Oryctolagus cuniculus: one gene and its partners. The protein of the gene in region 1 binds, or shares a complex with, the protein of each later gene. Links are inferred from orthologs where the notes say so. Each region holds a gene or a part of one and is shown in the gene's direction. Other genes may lie near its edges.

What was found. Proteins that work in one complex are often made in the same cells at the same time.
Region 2: PRPF8 (region 1) and LSM8 share a complex: the UniProt entries of both Homo sapiens proteins name them as parts of the U4/U6-U5 tri-snRNP complex. The link is inferred for Oryctolagus cuniculus from reciprocal best matches to the Homo sapiens genes PRPF8 and LSM8.
Region 3: PRPF8 (region 1) and PRPF6 share a complex: the UniProt entries of both Homo sapiens proteins name them as parts of the U4/U6-U5 tri-snRNP complex. The link is inferred for Oryctolagus cuniculus from reciprocal best matches to the Homo sapiens genes PRPF8 and PRPF6.
Region 4: PRPF8 (region 1) and PRPF3 share a complex: the UniProt entries of both Homo sapiens proteins name them as parts of the U4/U6-U5 tri-snRNP complex. The link is inferred for Oryctolagus cuniculus from reciprocal best matches to the Homo sapiens genes PRPF8 and PRPF3.

The regions. Positions count from the first base shown.
Region 1 is NC_091448.1:47,183,763-47,187,271, reverse strand, and holds part of PRPF8 (pre-mRNA-processing-splicing factor 8), read left to right. Parts: intron 1-88; coding exon 89-235; intron 236-382; coding exon 383-543; intron 544-841; coding exon 842-1,033; intron 1,034-1,997; coding exon 1,998-2,235; intron 2,236-2,352; coding exon 2,353-2,481; intron 2,482-3,509. UniProt on the Homo sapiens protein: Plays a role in pre-mRNA splicing as core component of precatalytic, catalytic and postcatalytic spliceosomal complexes, both of the predominant U2-type spliceosome and the minor U12-type spliceosome.
Region 2 is NC_091434.1:153,846,742-153,851,018, forward strand, and holds the start of LSM8 (LSM8 homolog, U6 small nuclear RNA associated), read left to right. Parts: upstream 1-1,475; 5' UTR 1,476-1,678; coding exon 1,679-1,709; intron 1,710-2,743; coding exon 2,744-2,784; intron 2,785-4,277. UniProt on the Homo sapiens protein: Plays a role in pre-mRNA splicing as component of the U4/U6-U5 tri-snRNP complex that is involved in spliceosome assembly, and as component of the precatalytic spliceosome (spliceosome B complex).
Region 3 is NC_091442.1:205,100-209,360, reverse strand, and holds the start of PRPF6 (pre-mRNA-processing factor 6), read left to right. Parts: upstream 1-1,459; coding exon 1,460-1,800; exon of another isoform or gene 1,801-1,948; coding exon of another isoform or gene 1,949-1,971; intron 1,972-2,084; coding exon of another isoform or gene 2,085-2,225; intron 2,226-2,310; coding exon of another isoform or gene 2,311-2,482; intron 2,483-2,559; coding exon of another isoform or gene 2,560-2,741; intron 2,742-2,958; coding exon of another isoform or gene 2,959-3,024; intron 3,025-4,261. Other genes in the region: SAMD10 (sterile alpha motif domain-containing protein 10), read right to left, coding at 1,949-1,971, 2,085-2,225, 2,311-2,482, 2,560-2,741, 2,959-3,024. UniProt on the Homo sapiens protein: Involved in pre-mRNA splicing as component of the U4/U6-U5 tri-snRNP complex, one of the building blocks of the spliceosome.
Region 4 is NC_091438.1:47,654,643-47,658,811, reverse strand, and holds the start of PRPF3 (U4/U6 small nuclear ribonucleoprotein Prp3), read left to right. Parts: upstream 1-1,367; 5' UTR 1,368-1,507; intron 1,508-3,043; exon of another isoform or gene 3,044-3,235; intron 3,236-4,169. UniProt on the Homo sapiens protein: Plays a role in pre-mRNA splicing as component of the U4/U6-U5 tri-snRNP complex that is involved in spliceosome assembly, and as component of the precatalytic spliceosome (spliceosome B complex).

The DNA.
Region 1 (3,509 bases):
AAGGGAAGTTACAAGTGTTTCCACTGCCTTAGTTATGTCCTGCGAGCCAAAGGCTCGAGCTCTAGTGTCACGTTCGTTTTCCTGGCAGGTGTACGTAGGCTTTCAGGTGCAGCTGGACCTGACAGGTATCTTCATGCATGGCAAGATCCCCACCCTGAAGATCTCCCTCATCCAGATATTCCGAGCTCACCTGTGGCAGAAGATCCATGAAAGCATTGTCATGGACTTGTGTCAGGTGGGTCGGCTTGCTCTCTTGTATATGGGAAATCTGCTGAGGATGCTCTGGGATGAGAGTCCCGTTACTTGGTTGTCTTAGATTCTACAGAGCTTCATTCTGAGTGGCTTCCAAAATGCATCACAGCCTTTCTGCTTTTGCCTTCAGGTGTTTGACCAAGAACTGGATGCGCTGGAAATTGAGACAGTACAGAAGGAGACGATTCATCCTCGAAAGTCCTATAAGATGAACTCTTCCTGTGCAGATATACTGCTCTTTGCCTCGTATAAGTGGAATGTCTCCCGGCCTTCGTTGCTGGCAGACTCCAAGTGCGTGCCTCATGGCCCAAACCTAGGCATTCAGGAACCTTCATTTCACTGTCCCTTTAGTAATACTGGTCTAGAAACTATCCCTTGGCTGTCCTTCTTCCAAACTTGGAGTCAGTGATGGTCTTGGCCCCTGTCAACACCTTCCATCAGATCTGCCCATTCTCTGGGAAGCTTGCTGATCTGGAATAGAGCAAGGATGGTTTTAGGATATAGGGGTAGTGGTTGGGAGTTCTAGTGGTTCTGGGAACATGGGTTACACCCATGGCTTCCTGAGAACCTGACGCCTCTCTACCCTCAGGGATGTGATGGACAGCACCACCACTCAGAAGTATTGGATTGACATCCAGTTGCGCTGGGGGGACTACGATTCCCATGACATTGAGCGCTATGCACGGGCCAAGTTTCTGGACTACACCACAGACAACATGAGTATTTACCCTTCACCCACAGGTGTGCTCATTGCCATTGACCTGGCCTATAACCTGCACAGGTGAGTTGGGGCTCAGACACATCTGTTTTCCATCAGCCCCATACTTTAATGTAGATGTGCTTTTTCAGTTTGCTTCAAGAAGATGAGGTTGGCCATTTCCTCTGGGTCACTGACTCTTCTTTTGGGATACATTTACATGAGCAGAGTTTTTTGTGTGTTTATTTGTTTGAAAGATTTTTTTTTTTTTTTTTTTTTTTTTTTTTTTTTTTTTTTTTTTTGGACAGGAAGCGTGGACAGTGAGAGAGAGAGAGAGACAGAGAGAAAGGTCTTCCTTTTGCTGTTGGTTCACCCTCCAATGGCTGCCACGGCCGGCATGCTGTGGCCGGCACACTGTGCTGATCCAAAGGCAGGAGCCAGATGCTTCTCCTGGTCTCCCATGGGGTGCAGGGCCCAAGCACTTGGGCCATCCTCCACTGCCTTCCCGGGCCACAGCAGAGAGCTGGCCTGGAAGAGGGGCAACTGGGACAGAATCCGGCACCCTGACCGGGACTAGAACCCGGTGTGCTGGCGCCACAGGCGGAGGATTATCCTATTGAGCCACAGCACCGGCGAAAGATTTATTTATTTGAAAGGCACCATTACAGAGAGAGGGAGATATAGAGATATCTGCTATATACTGATTTACTCCCCAGATGGCCTCAACAGCCAGACAGAAGCTGGGCCAGACAGAAGCCAGGATCTCCCAGACAGGGGCCCAGCTACTTGAGCCATCTTCCACTGCTGTCCCAGGTGCATTGGCACGGAGGTGGATCAGAAGTGGAACATCTGGAATTTGAACTGGTGCCCACATAGGATGTTGGCACCCAGTGGGCGGCAGCTTAACCTGCTGCATCACAGCACCGGCCCCCACATGAGATTACTGGCAGCCCAACTAGCAGTCTTCCTCCTTCTATAAAGTTGCATTTGCCTTGTCTTGGGGCTTTCAGCCTGAGCTTAACTTTTCTTGCCCTGTGCACCCTCACAGTGCCTATGGAAACTGGTTCCCAGGCAGCAAGCCCCTCATACAGCAGGCCATGGCCAAGATCATGAAGGCCAACCCAGCCTTGTATGTGTTACGTGAACGAATCCGCAAGGGATTGCAGCTCTATTCATCTGAGCCCACTGAGCCTTATCTGTCCTCTCAGAATTATGGTGAGCTCTTCTCCAACCAGATTATCTGGTTTGTGGATGACACTAATGTCTACAGAGTGACAATCCACAAGGTGAGTGTCAGGTGCACTAAAGGGTGTGGGGCTTTGCTTCTGCCCTTGGGAGGGTAACCGAGTAAGTGGGATGAAGGCAAGCAGATGACCATACTAACCAATGTATTCTTTCTTTAGACATTTGAGGGGAACTTGACAACCAAACCCATCAATGGGGCCATCTTCATCTTCAACCCACGTACAGGGCAGCTATTCCTCAAGATAATCCACACATCCGTGTGGGCGGGACAGAAACGTCTGGGGCAGGTGAGCAGGTTAAAGGATGGAGAGACTGTAGAACATGGCTGCCTCTTATTCTAGGTGGGGGACGGGAGAGTTGTATACTGCTTTTCTCTATTGAAAGACGGAGAACATGTTATTTATTCATTCATTTATTTGAAAGAATTGCAAAGAGAGAACAAGCTCCCATCTGCTGGTTCACTCCCCAAGTGGCTGCAATGGCCAGGGCTGGGCCAGGCTGAACCAGGAGCCAGGAACTCCATCTGGGCCTCCCACATAGGTGGCAGAGTCCCAAGCACTTGGGCCATGATATGCTGCCTTTTCATGCACATTAGCAGGGAACTGGATTAGAAGTGGAGCAGCCAAGACTGGAGAACCGGCAGCTATATAATCTATCTTGAACATTGCTACCAAAAATTATCTTTCTAAAGATAATTAAAGCATCATTTTCACTTCTTCACTGCCCTAAAGTCTGGCACATCCTCCTTCTTGCTGAATTAACTCTTCTTTGGCTTCCTAGATGTTTGCTGTCTGACTGGGCTGCACCTGTCCAGCCGTAGTTTCTCTTCCTTTATATTTCCAGCCTGTTTCCGCCTGTAGTTCCAGGATACTAATATCCAGAACCTGATGTTCATCTGACTTTGTGGCTTTACTCACAGTTTCCTCACTTTGTAGAATGGACTTCCTCTGTATATCAGTATTTTTGTCTTTTTTTTTTTTTCCCAAAGATTTATTTTATTTGAAAGTCAGAGTTACAGAGAGAGAAGGGAAGAGAGAAAGAGATCTTTATCTGTTGGTTCTCTTATATGACCACAACAGCCAGGGCCTGGGCCAGGCAGAAGCCAAAAGCTACATCCAGGTCTCCCACGTGGGTGCAGGGGCCCAAAGATGCTGCCATCTTCCCCGCGGTTTCCAAAACTCATTAGCAGGAAGCTGGATTGGAAATGGAGCAGCTGGGACTTGAACCATGCCCATATGGGAAGCTGGCATTGTAGGCAATGGCTTATGCTGTTAGGCCAGAACACTAGCCCTGTTTGTCATTCTTACGCATTAAG
Region 2 (4,277 bases), on another chromosome or scaffold:
TTTTTGTGACACCAAACTCTATGTTCATATACAGCCATGGTCACGAGGCTAATTAAGATAAATCTAATATGCAACCTTTACATCCAGATGTAACTCATTTTTTATGTCTTAATAAATAGATTTTGCCTATTCATAGGCTTTACCTCCACAACTGCTATCTTTAGGCATCATAGAAAGTACAGTAGTTTAAAGACACAAATTAAAAAATTTAACCCAGAGATTTTGTGATGCTTCCCCAAACACTGTATCTGCTATCCTCCTAAATTAATTTAATGGAAAACACAATGTTATAGCCTTATAATGTATTTATGATGAAATTAGTTCCATTAAGTTATTTTATGTCAATAAACATTTTCAAAACGTAAGAACACTCTTAGGAAATACAAAGCTACATTCATTGTAAAAAGGTGACACACAGGCTATTTCTAAAAAGGAACTTACTAACAAGACCTCATTTACCATCAATTACTTTTTTATTTCAAAGCCTAGTATTTGCAAATCACACACTATCTTTTTTTTTCCCTCCCATTTTTGGAAGATAGTAATTTGTTTCCCAGGGTATATGAAGAACATTTGTGGTTTATGAGTGCATAAAAATATTTGGGAGTGACCTTGTCCGTACTTTTGTGGGCATGATTTAATGAACAGATAAATGCTTCACTTTCCAGGGGAAAACTGCTGACACTGCAAGTTACCTCAGGCCACAGTTCTCCCGTTCAAGACAAGACTAATTAAAATCAGAGACTCCTTGTACACAGCGGAAGTCTCTTGCGTACAGACCTCATCAGTTACCACAGTGAAATAATGGGGTAAGAGTGACGTTTTCTAGTACCATCCAGAAATATCCAAAACGATCCCGGCAGGGTCTAAGGAAACCGAGGCCCAGAGGCGGTGACAGGAGTCGTGCAGGGCCACAATCGGTTACCAGGGTGTGAGCCAGCACCTGGTCTGGTGCTCACCTACGACCCCCATCAGTCCTCTAAAGACAGATGTCAGCAGAGGCAAGGACACCTCGCACCGCGGTGCGGCCCAAGCTGCGGCCGTTTGCCTGGGCAGCGCACACACCTTTCCCCATTCGCATTTAGGTTCCTCAAGGGGCCAGCACCGCCGCTTTTCACGGCCGGGTTCTCCGGAGGTAACATCTGTGGTTACACTGCTAACTTGGTCTTGGGCCAGGAGCTTCTTCAGTTTAGTTTACTTTTCGGCCCGTGCTACAGCACAGGGGAGTCCACGTCCCTGTCCGTACGCTTCCTCCATTTCCTCCTAAAGACAACACCTTACTCCATCTCCTCCTGCGCGTTCTGAAGCCACACGACTTGCCCACAGCCTTCCCCTCGGCTAGTACACTCGCTCTCCCGCTTCACGCCGCCCACCGCTCCTAGGAAGCGGCTCACGCTCTTCCACCACCCCCAGGCTTTTGTCTCTCCCCGCTTCCGGATCACCGGCCGGAAGACCAGCGGAAACCCACTACGCACGCGCAGAAACTCGTCACCGCCTCCTGCCGTTGAATTGGCCTATTCCTTCCAAGTTCCGACTTGCGGGGGCCCACGGTGCCGCAATTCTCGCGATATTTGTTTCCGCCAACGGGAACGAGCCGCTTCGTGTTTCTGGCGGGCCCTTTTAGCTCTAATTGTCGCCGGCGCCGCTCTGTTGCCCCGGAACCTCCGGGCCGAGCAGCATGACGTCCGCTTTGGAAAACTACATAAACCGTATCCTCCGGTCGCCTGCCGTGAGCGTTGGCCGGGCACAGCGGGGCGGGTGCGAGAGCGGCGGGGGTCGGGCTCGGCGGGCGGGTGGGATCCCGGCCACGGCGGGACCCGGGGTGAGAGTGAGCGGGTGAAGCCTCCGGAGCAGCCGACCCCCTCCCGGCTCCCCTCCCGGCGTTCCAGCGGGCTCGGGACGCCTGGCGATTTTACACTGAGAGAGACACAGACCGACCCGAATGTCATTGTGGCCAACTTTTCCCTGATTGATAGATCCTCTGATTGATTGATTGATTGGCCTGTGTGTGCAAGTTTGGGGATGAGGTGAACGGTTGCGGCAACGAGCGTGTTGCAGATCTTTGCACTGTACTTGCTTCATTCGTAGGCTTGGCGTTTCTAATTGTTGATAAAATGAAGTCACATTTGTTGTTGGATTAGAGTGAGGGGCGGTAGTTTTTATTTATTTTTTTAATCTTAAAAGTATCGTTTAAAATGTTGCCGTTTTGAAGTCTCAGGGCAAAAATATTACGGTGTGCTCTCGTTCAAAATTGGAAACAGAAGTTCAGGACTGAAGGCGTCTCATGATGCAAGTGTTATTGGTACCTTATGGCACTGAGTATAGATTTCGTTGGAATGCCAGGATACAGGCCCTGGGAGACGGTGTCTTAACGTGCCTGAAATGAACATTAATTAATTTAGCACTCACCCAATTTTCATTTGAGAGAGAATAGGCCTAAGAAAGGAGGAAATGTCCTGCTTACATCAGAGATTTATTAGGCAGCATTCTTAGCAGAAAAGTGGCTGTTCTGATACAGGAGACACTGATCACAAGGAGAAAGAGGCTATTTCTCTCCCCTTTTTAATTGCATAATTATCACAGAGTCGGAGTTAAAGACATTAGAAATGATCTTAAGTTTTCACGCAGTGGCCATCTTGAATCTTAGATGTGTTACCTTTTCTGTAGTATTCAAACTGTTTCCTTACCAGAGTCTTAAGTGCTCAATTTGCCTTCTCCAAGCTTTCCTTGATTCAGTTATCAGGAACGGTAGCTGTTATTACTTCCGATGGGAGAATGATCGTGGTAAGTCTGGCATTTTCCTTCTCTGCTTGGCTTTGTGGGCTTGGTGGTTGTAAATGTTTACTAAAGCCTCCGATGTCTAACACCCAGACACCAAGGTACACCTGTCTCCTTATTGCTGTCTCTCTGCTGCCAGTCCCTATGTTCTTCACTAATAAACGTTGATTCTGTGTTACCTACAAGGCTTTTGAGGGAAGAATAGCTTTTGCCTTCAGAGAGCTTATAGTCTAATCTGCAGGTTTGTGTATTAAATTTGTCTTCTATTTTTGTTTCTTTCACCATTCAGTGCTATTGTCCTGACATTCACCAGATGAATCATAATAATCATTTGAAGCTTTGTATATTTTTAATCAGAAATTTTTAATGATTTAGATACATCTATATGAACATTTGAGCTTTTTATGATCTTAGTATCCTTTGAATATTCAAAGGTTGTAATGACCTCTGTCTTTGGCAAATAATGATGATTGACTCTGAATTTATATAAAAAGAACACTTCAAAATCTCATGGAAAATAGGCCTAAATGATAATGCAGCGGCGGGCATTTGGCACCAAGGATAAGAGACTAATTGAAACACTGGTGTTCCATATTGGAGTCCCAGCTATGGGTCCTGACTCCAGCCAGCATTTTTACTAATGCAGACTGGGAGGCTGTGGTGTTGGCTCAAGTAATTAGGTCTTTGCCACTCATGAGGGAGACCTGTTTTGAGTTCCTGTCTACTGGCTTCAGCTTATTCCAGCCTGCTATTGTTGGCATATGGGGAGTGAACCAGCGGATGGGAGATCACTGTCTGTCTCTGTGCCTAGTAGATAAATTTTTTTAAAAAGATAACATGAATTTTGTATGAACCTTTTGAAGTCCCCTGTTTTATATGTCCTCAGTCTGTTCCTTGAAGATATTTCTCAGTTGTTACTCCACCTTATGTTTCAAAGACAAAACTTCCTGTGACATATTTGTATTTGGAATTTGATCAAAGGAATTTATCCTATGGTTTGTAATTTATGCTGTGATTGCTGCTTTCAAAAAAACCCAAGGGCACAGTTAGTTTATAATCTAATCATTTCGAGTTAATTTCCTATTCTGCAGTTCTGTTTTGAACACTTAAAATTTTATCAGTGACTTCTTAGTGACAACTATGGCCACAGTTCTAGAGTTTACCATTTACTAAATGTATATCATATACCAGATTCTTTATATGTATTACATCATTATTCATTTTTTCAGTATAACCCTGGGAAGAGGGTTCTGTATTCTAAGTTAGGAACCAAGCTTGCAGAAAATGAGTTACTTTCCCATAGTCACAAAGACAGTAAATGACAGAACCAAATGGAGATTTGATATGGATTTAACTCCCAAGCCAAGGACAGTTGCCATGCTTCCCCTTTAATCAAGGAAGAACTCAATGGTCTTTTTAGGCACCTCACATTGTTTTTTTTGTTTGTTTGTTTTTTTGTTTTTGTCAAATATGAACAGCTTGAAATATTTTAAGCTCAG
Region 3 (4,261 bases), on another chromosome or scaffold:
GCTGGTGTCAGGTCTGGGGCGAGGGGCCCGGCCCCTCAGGCTTGGGCATAGATGAGGCAGAGCGTGGTGGGCAGCGGCCTGCAGGTGCCCCAAGGCCCTGCCCCCTCCCTGACGCAGCCATCCTGCAGGGCTGGGAGAGAGGAACCCTGGGGTGGACCCTGTGTGGGCCACAGCGTCCACAGGCTTCTGCTGTGTGTGCTGCTGCATCTGCTGAGTTTCAGACGCCCCAGGAAAGCTCATGGACCTCTGCACCCCGTTGGACACTGCTGCGCGGGAGGTAGAGACAGGTGCATAGCCCTCTCTCAGGCCCTCTGCTTCAGCACCCCCTGCCCAGCCTGGGGGCAGAACTCAGGTTCACCAGGACCTCGGGGGAGGGGCTGGCCTGGGTCCCCTGGGGCGAGACTTCATTGCCAGTGCCTGCCCAGGGCTGGCGAATGAACGGCCCGGTGCCCTCGTGTGCCTGGGTGGCCATACCGTGAGGCTGGGGTGTTGTGTCCCGACCCTGCCCTGTGTGGGAGGCTGGAGCCCCGACCCTACAGGGGAGGCCTTCTTTGGAGGAGGGTTGCACACAGAGTCCCTGCCTGGGGAGATGAGAGGGAGCCAGGGCCAACAGGCAGGCACCAGAAACCCGAAGGGGCTTGGAGGCCCCACTGGGGTTGGCCTCTGGCCTCAGAGAAGGCAAAGGCCCCATCCCGGGACAGCAGCCCCAGGACCCCCCGTGGGGCGCCCCGGCTGTGGCCTCCGCCTTGGGGGAGGCCTCTTCAGAACGCAGCTCCACTGCCCCCTGGTGGCGCGGCCTGCAGGCAGCCAGGCATGCCGCCCCCCCCCCCCACACCCAGTGCAGCAGGCACTTGAGAACCACGTTTATTTGTTTGTTTTTTTCTTCTCTTTGTCAGAGTATAAAAAAGTGAACGCAAGACAAGACAAGACAGGGGCACGGGGTGGGCAAGACAGAGGCAGGAGGATGGGTGGCGGCAGGAAGGGCTCCCTGGGGAAAGACCTATAGCACAGGGTGGTCGGGGACAGGGACACGGGCAGCTGGGGGTCATGGCACAGGACGGAGGTGCCAGGCCAGTTTTCCGAATGCCACTCGGGACCTGCGGCTGCGATGACCAACCTCGCACCCAAGGCCGGCTCAGGGCACACAGAGGGGCTGGGCTCAGCCTCATCTGTCCCTGAGAGAGCCCGGGGGGGGGGGGAGTGGGAGAGGGCTGCCCTGCACCCAGGGAGGGGATGCTCTGGCGTCTGTGGGCAGATGTGGGGCCGAGGCCCTTGGGACAGCCTCTCCTGTGAATCCAGATCTTCCCGGGAGAGTGACAACGGAAAATGTCTGTGCCACTGACCCGGGCAGAAGATGCTGGATCGCAATAGTCCCCCAGGCACCGGCTGAGGAGCAGCACTGAGCCCAGGCCCCTGCGTGAGGTCACCTCATTGGGTGGCTTCGTCTTCACGGGTGTGGATGCCCCCTGGCCTCAGTTCTCACGGACTCGGAGCAGGGAGCCAGCTTCAGCATGCGCTGGGTGTGGCAGCCAGCCGCTGGGTTCTGATGACCATTCCTCTGGGCCGTGAGTTGGGCCTGCCGGGCCCTGGCAGGGACAGGAGGGGCACCGAGCTAGGAGGGCTGAGGAGTTCATCCCAGCTGGGTGGCAGACGGGTCAGTGCTGTGACGCTGCAGGCACCTGGCCATCTCTGGCTCGAGAGAGCTGCTGCACACGCGGCCAGCAGCACGTGCTCTGGTCCCAGGAGGAAGGGCGCCCAACCCCGATGCGGCGTGGAGTGCCCACCCAGAAGCACCTGGAGGTGAGCGTCCTGGTCCCGCCTGTCCACAGAACTGGGCTCTGCTGCCCAGGCGTCCACAGGGTCCGGGAGCTGAGCCGCCAGCACCATTTCGTCCCTGGCCACGGGCTCCAGTCACAGTGCTGGTCTGGGGTTTGAGCCTCAGCAGCAGCTAGGACATGTTTCCGAAGGAAGCTGCGGGGTAGATGGGGGCGAATGGGGGTGGACCCTTCCCGGGCCCCTCCAGCCAGTCTCCTGAGATCCTTCAGAGACCCCTCCCAGCCCCGCCCCCAGCCTCTCCCACAGACCTTGGCTGAGCAGCTGCAGGCTCCGCCCCTCCTCGCGCACCTGCAGGTGCAGCACCTGCTGTAGCACCTCCTGCCTCTGGGCCTCCTGCGCCAGCCCCATGCGTTGCAGCTTCTCCGCATTCAGCCGCAGCAGTGCCCGGCCTGCAGGGAGAGGGGCGGACAAGCTGAGGCCCACAGGGACACTCGGGACTCACCCAGGGGCGCGGGAGGGCAGCAGCCGGCGTACCGGTGATGGCGTGTTGGGAGAAGGCCTCGACATAGACGAGGTAGTTGTGGGGACAGTGCTTCTTGAGCCACTTGCACACGTCCTGCTGAGTCCACAGCACCACGGGCCGCGTCAGGCCGCCCAGCGGGGGGCTGGTGTGGTACAGGCCGTAGTGGTCCGAGTACAGCTGGCCCTGCAGGGAGAGGAGGGTGGTGGGCGCAGTGAGGGTGGCGTAGTGGGCGCGGGGGGCGGGGGCGGGCGGCGGGGTACCTGGGGGGCCTCTGTGCCTGGCTGCTGCAGGAGCTTGATGGGTCTGCTGCCGCACGCCCTCTGGCTGCGGGGGTCGTGCCACGTGAGGCTGGTGCCCGGCGTTCGAGGCAGGTGGCAGGGGATGCTCTCGGCGGACACCGTGTGCTCCAGGACGGTCCGGCAGAAGCTGAAGTGGGCGGTGGCTGTGTGCGGGGGCCCTGGTCAGGCTCCTGAGAGGCAGCTCCCCTGTCGTGCCCGTCTCCTCCCCACCCCTGAGGGGAGTCACATCCCCAAGCCCCCCCCCCCCCGGCAGGAGTCCAGAGACTGGAGGCACCACGCCTCCTACCTGCAGAGGACCCACACTCCAGGGAGCCAGGCAAGGGGCGGCAGGGGCGGCAGGGGCAGCCTTGAGCTATACACCTTGCCTAGGGCTGGCCTCTGAGCCTCCCGCATGCAGCACAGGACCTGCATATGCACACACGGGACCTGGGCATACACACACAGGATTAGTGCACACACACACGAGACCCGTGTACACACACACATAGTACCTGTGCACACATACACATGGGACCAGAGCACACACACGGGACCTGGACACACACATACACACAGGATCAGTGTGCACACACACAAGACTTGCATGTACACACACGAGACCTGCACATACACACATGGCACCAGGGCACATAAACAGAACCTGTGCACACACACACAGGATCTTCATTCACATACATGGGATCTGGGCACACACACAAGGACCTGTGCACACACACTGGACCTACAGGCACTCACATGGGACCTGGGCACACACACAGGACCTGCAAACACACATATGGGACCCATGCACACACACACTGGACCTACAGGCACTCACATGGGACCTGTGTGCGTGTGTGCATACGTATGGGACCTGTGCACACACACATGGGACCTGCAGGCACACACACAGGACCTGTGCACACACACTGGACCTACAGGCACTCACATGGGACCTGTGCACACATACATGGGACCTGCAGGCACACACACAGGACCTGTGCACACACATGAGACCTATAGGCACGCATATGGGACCTGTGCACACACATAGGACCTGCAAACACACACACTGGATCTACATGCACACACACACAGGACCTGTGCACACACACACAGGACCTGTGTGCACACACACGGGACCTGCAGGCACACACATGGGACCCACATGCACACACACAGGACTTGCAGACACACATATGGGACCTGTGCATACACAGGACGCACACACACACAGGACCTGCAGACACACATATGGGATCTGTGCACACACATGGGACCTGTGCACACACATGGGACCTGGGCACACACAAGGGACCCACACACACACACACACACACAGGACCTGCCTTTGCAGAGGGCAGGCCCTGCCTGCTGGGCAGCCTTTGCAGGGAGACGGTCCCACTGAAGTCGCCCTGGCCCGAAACACTGTGTCCACAGCCCTGCCCCATGTCCCTCCTGACGGCCTGCCCTGGCAAATCCTCCCGCACCACAAGCTGGGCCCAGGACAGCACCTGGTGCTTAGCACAGGGGTGCAGCCATTGCCCAGAGACCCCAGTGACGCCCCTTCCTCCCTGCTCCTTCAGCCTGTTTCCCGGTGCTGGTACCCCCGGGGCAGGCAGCGGCTCCGCGGACCCTCTCCCATCCCGGTGGGATCCCGGCTGCTGTCAGGTCGCGGTGCACA
Region 4 (4,169 bases), on another chromosome or scaffold:
TTGTGAGTGACCGCACCCAAGGAATACTCCAGATACGCCCTGTCCCAAACAACGGATGGGTGGCACCCCGGGAAACTCCAAGAGGGAGCACAACTGATTGGTGACACCCGGACCCCTACTGGAGACTCCCCCTTCAGAGTGGCAAGGATAAAGGAGAGCCTTTTCCACCGCTCTCGAGGATCATGGCCCGATGTGTGTGAACCTCTGGATCTCCACACATCTGGAGCTGAAGAGCCAGCTTGCTAGCACCCTTGCTAAGTGACGCAAGGCGATTACGGGACCAAACTCCAGCGGAGCCGCTGCCTGGCCGCCTCACCCGGACCCGTTATTGGCTGCTGCCAGACCAACACCAGACCTCTCAGCAGGGGACCTCTCCAACTCCTTGCCTTGCCCTCTGAACCTACTGCCCAGAGTGACAGCCATCCCCAAACTTCCTGCCTGTAACTGACTGTCCTGAGATCCATCTCTCCGAGTGGTAACGAAGACTTTGAACTCTGGACTTTGGACTTTGACTTTTGGTGACCGTGATACGACCCTTGAGGACGCAGCACTTATAATGATATTAGCCGTGTGTAATATGAAGGCATGTGCCTTGACCCTGTGATTAAGAATAATGTTATGTGCTTATATTATTATAGTTGGATTGCCTTTGAGACTGCTAGGTGTGTGTTATGATCTGTGGAGTACTGAATATAACAATGTAGATTGGTATGCAGAGTGGTCAAGCCCTAGTGTGAAATTGTGTGGGCAATAAAAACCTTTCATTGGAAAGACAATCTTGTGTCCATGTGTTCCTTCCTCCCTGTGCTCCGACACCTCGCCCTTAAGCCCTGTCGAGCTGCGTGACAGCAGGCATTCGCGACAATCACTAAAGCAATACTCTCAAGTGGCCAGCACACATTAGTAGGCAGTTGATAAAGATTTGTTCCGTCAATGAATGAATCTAACAATAAAAAGGTATTAGAAGCTACTTGCTTGAGTCTTCCTACCCTTGTCTTGTTCCTGAATGACCTCCGGTCCCACTGTTAACTTAGAAAAGGCTGGGGGGCGACTAAAGCTGATGATCAGGACTCCGAGAGGGTTTACTTTCTACCAGAAAGGCCACGTTTCAGCACGCACAAACAAGTCCTCCTTTTAGTCCTGTAACTTTAGAGCGTTTATCCGCCACACGAAGAAAACTAAAAATTGTTTTGTTTGCGTTTTTTTTTAAACTGAAAACCACCTAAAGTTACGCCAACTTCGTAATCTTTTTTCCCTGTAGAAACCGAAGGCCAGCAGCAACTTGGACGGGGAAACCTTAGGGCTGTGCCACGCATGCGCTCCGCTGTCGCCAGAGCGGCAACTGCGGCTGCGCAAATCGACGGCCCGCCCCCTCCCTGGTCACGTGTCAGGGGACCGCAGCGTGGCGGCGGCCGTGGCGGTAGCGACGGCAGGCCGTAGGGCGGTCAGAAGGTTTCCGGTTCCGGTGTAACGTTCGGGCTCCGTCTCAGGGGCTGAAGTTTGTGAGGTGAGTAGTGGCCCCGGGCCCGGGGAGGGTGTCTTCCCGTCGGAGCGGCTGGGGCCGGGGCTGAGTCCGAGGGGAGGAACAGGGTGAAGGGTCCAGCGGGAAGGATGCTGAGAGAAGCACACGGTTCGGGAGAGAACGGATTGGAATGAGATTGTTGAGAGGAAAAGGGCGGGGGCGGGACGGGGACAGGCTGGGGAGAGCAGCTCTGGGGTGAGGAGTTTGGACAGAACAAGGTGAGGGAGGAGGCCGGTGAGAGAGAGAGCGAGAGTAAAAACAGGAGGAGGGGGGCTCCTGGGAGCACTCGGGTTGCAGCAAAGGAGAGCGTAGAGTAGGGAATCCTTTAAGAAGATTGGATTCTGCTGCCTGCTCATTGAGCAGTCATTCTGCCTGCCTCCCTTTCTGCACGCCAGCTCTCCCCGCCCCCACTCCCACCAGCCGTTATTATGGAGCATTGGGTCAGTAGCAAAGGCTGCTGTTGGAAACTTTTTTTTTTTTTTTAACATCTCAGAGGGAATTAGGTTGAACTTGAATACACTTTTGTTAGTACAGCGCTTGGGCACACATTTCATCTGAAAATAAAGATTCTTCCGTTTATTGCTTTGGTTTTCAAATTGCTTACTCTTTCTGGCCTGTGATGGAGTTTTCGTGGAATGTAGGCCCTTGTTACAGCCAGGGTGATTGTATTTTGTTCTCTGCTGTTTGTATCAGCACCTTCTACATTGCTTGACACTTAGTATTTGAGTAAACAGGGGCTTATGGGAATTAATTTGCCCAAGGGCTTGTGAATGATGGGATTAGCTTGGGAGTAGGGGTCTGTACCATTTATTGACCATCTGTTAGGCACTGTGAAGAACATTAGAAATAAAATCTTTGTGCTCCTGAGGAATTTGGAGAGTTAGGGATTAGATTAAAATATAGACATGATTAATGGTGACATTTTATACTAACTTGCATTGAATACAAAGATTTGTGTGGGAGAGTCCTTTATAATACTATTTTCTGTGATGAATTAAAAAGTAGGGTACAGGTAAAAAGGGATTGAGAAGAGAACATCTAAAGTGAGGGCATTTTTTTTTCCCAAGCTGAGAGAGTACTTTCATCACGACTTCTCACAGAGATCCTGTAGAATGCAATGGAGAATTTGCACTGTGCTGTCCTGCAGTAGCTTAAGCTGCCGCTTGAGACATGTGTGTGCCATACTGGAGTGCCTGTGTTTGAGTCTCGCCCCTGCTTCCAGTCCACCTTGCTGTTGCGTATCTTGGGAGGCAGTAGATGATGGCTCAAGTACTTGGGTCTTTGAGACCCGTGTGGGCACCTTGGATAGAGCTCCTGGCCCCTGGCTTTGGTGTGGTCCAGTCCTGACTATTGTGGGCATTTGGAGAATGGACTCAAGTGCATGGTAGGGGTCCAAGTACTCAAGCCATCACCTGCAACCTACCAAAATGTGCAGTTATCAGGAAGCTGGAATGAAGAGTGGAGCCAGGACTCAAACCCAGGCATTCCAAGCTGGTCTTGTCTTTTTCTTTCTTTCTTTAGAGATTCATTTATTTATTTGAAAGGCAGACTGACAGAAAGATCTTCTGAATCCACTCGTTCACTCCCTAAATGTCACAAAAGCAGGGGCTGGGGCTGGGCCACCACTGAATCCAGGAGCCAAGAACTTCATCCAGGTCTCTCATGTGGGTGGCAAGAACTCAAGCACTTGAGCCATCATCTGCTGCTTTCCAGGCATGTTGCAAAGGGCTGTTATTGGAAGGGGAGTATTTGGGACTCAAACTGGTGCTCTGATACAGGATGCAGATGTCTCAAGCAGTGACTTAACCTGCTGTAGCACACAATACCTGCCCTGCAAGCAGGGTCTTACCTACTACAGCAAACACCTGCCCTTTAGTCTTGTTTTAAATTCATTTATTTATTTTTATTTGAAAGGCAGAAAAAAAACCATAGAGACAGAGATCGTCCATTTGCTAGTTCATTTCCAAAATGCCCACTGTAGCTGGGGCTGGGCCAGGCCAAAGCCAGGAGCCTAAAACTCAATTGAGGTCTCATGTGGATGACAGGGACCCAAATCCTTGAGCCATCATCCCCTGGGATTGGAAGTAGAGCTGGGACTTGACGAACACATGGGTGTCCCAAGCCACCACACCAAACTCCTGCCCCTACCCTAGTCTTGTTTTAATGTTATATGCCAGTCTTTATTGATTTGCTCAAAAGGAAGCTAGAAGTAATTTTTAGAGTTTGTTTCTTCCACAGGTTTCATTGATTTTTTTTTTCTAAGATTCATTTTTTTTATTTATTTGAAAGGCAGAGAGAGAGAAAAGGAGAAAGAGAGAGAAAGAGATCTTCCATCCACTGGTTCACTTCCCAAATGGCCACAATGGCTGGGGCTGGGCCAGGCTGGGCCAGGCTGAAGCCAGGAGCCAGGAGCTTCTTCTGGGTCTCCCATGTTGGTGAAGGGGCCCAAGCACTTGGGCCATCCTCTGCTACTTTCCCAGACCCATTAGCAGGGAGTGGGATTGGAAGTGCAGCAGCCAGGTCTCGAACCAGCGACTATATGGGATGCCAGTGTCACAGGTGGAGGCTTAACCACAACACCAGCCCTCATTGATCCTTTGATAACTACTGAGTTAGGGTTAAAAATCAAATGGAATGTATTTGTTTC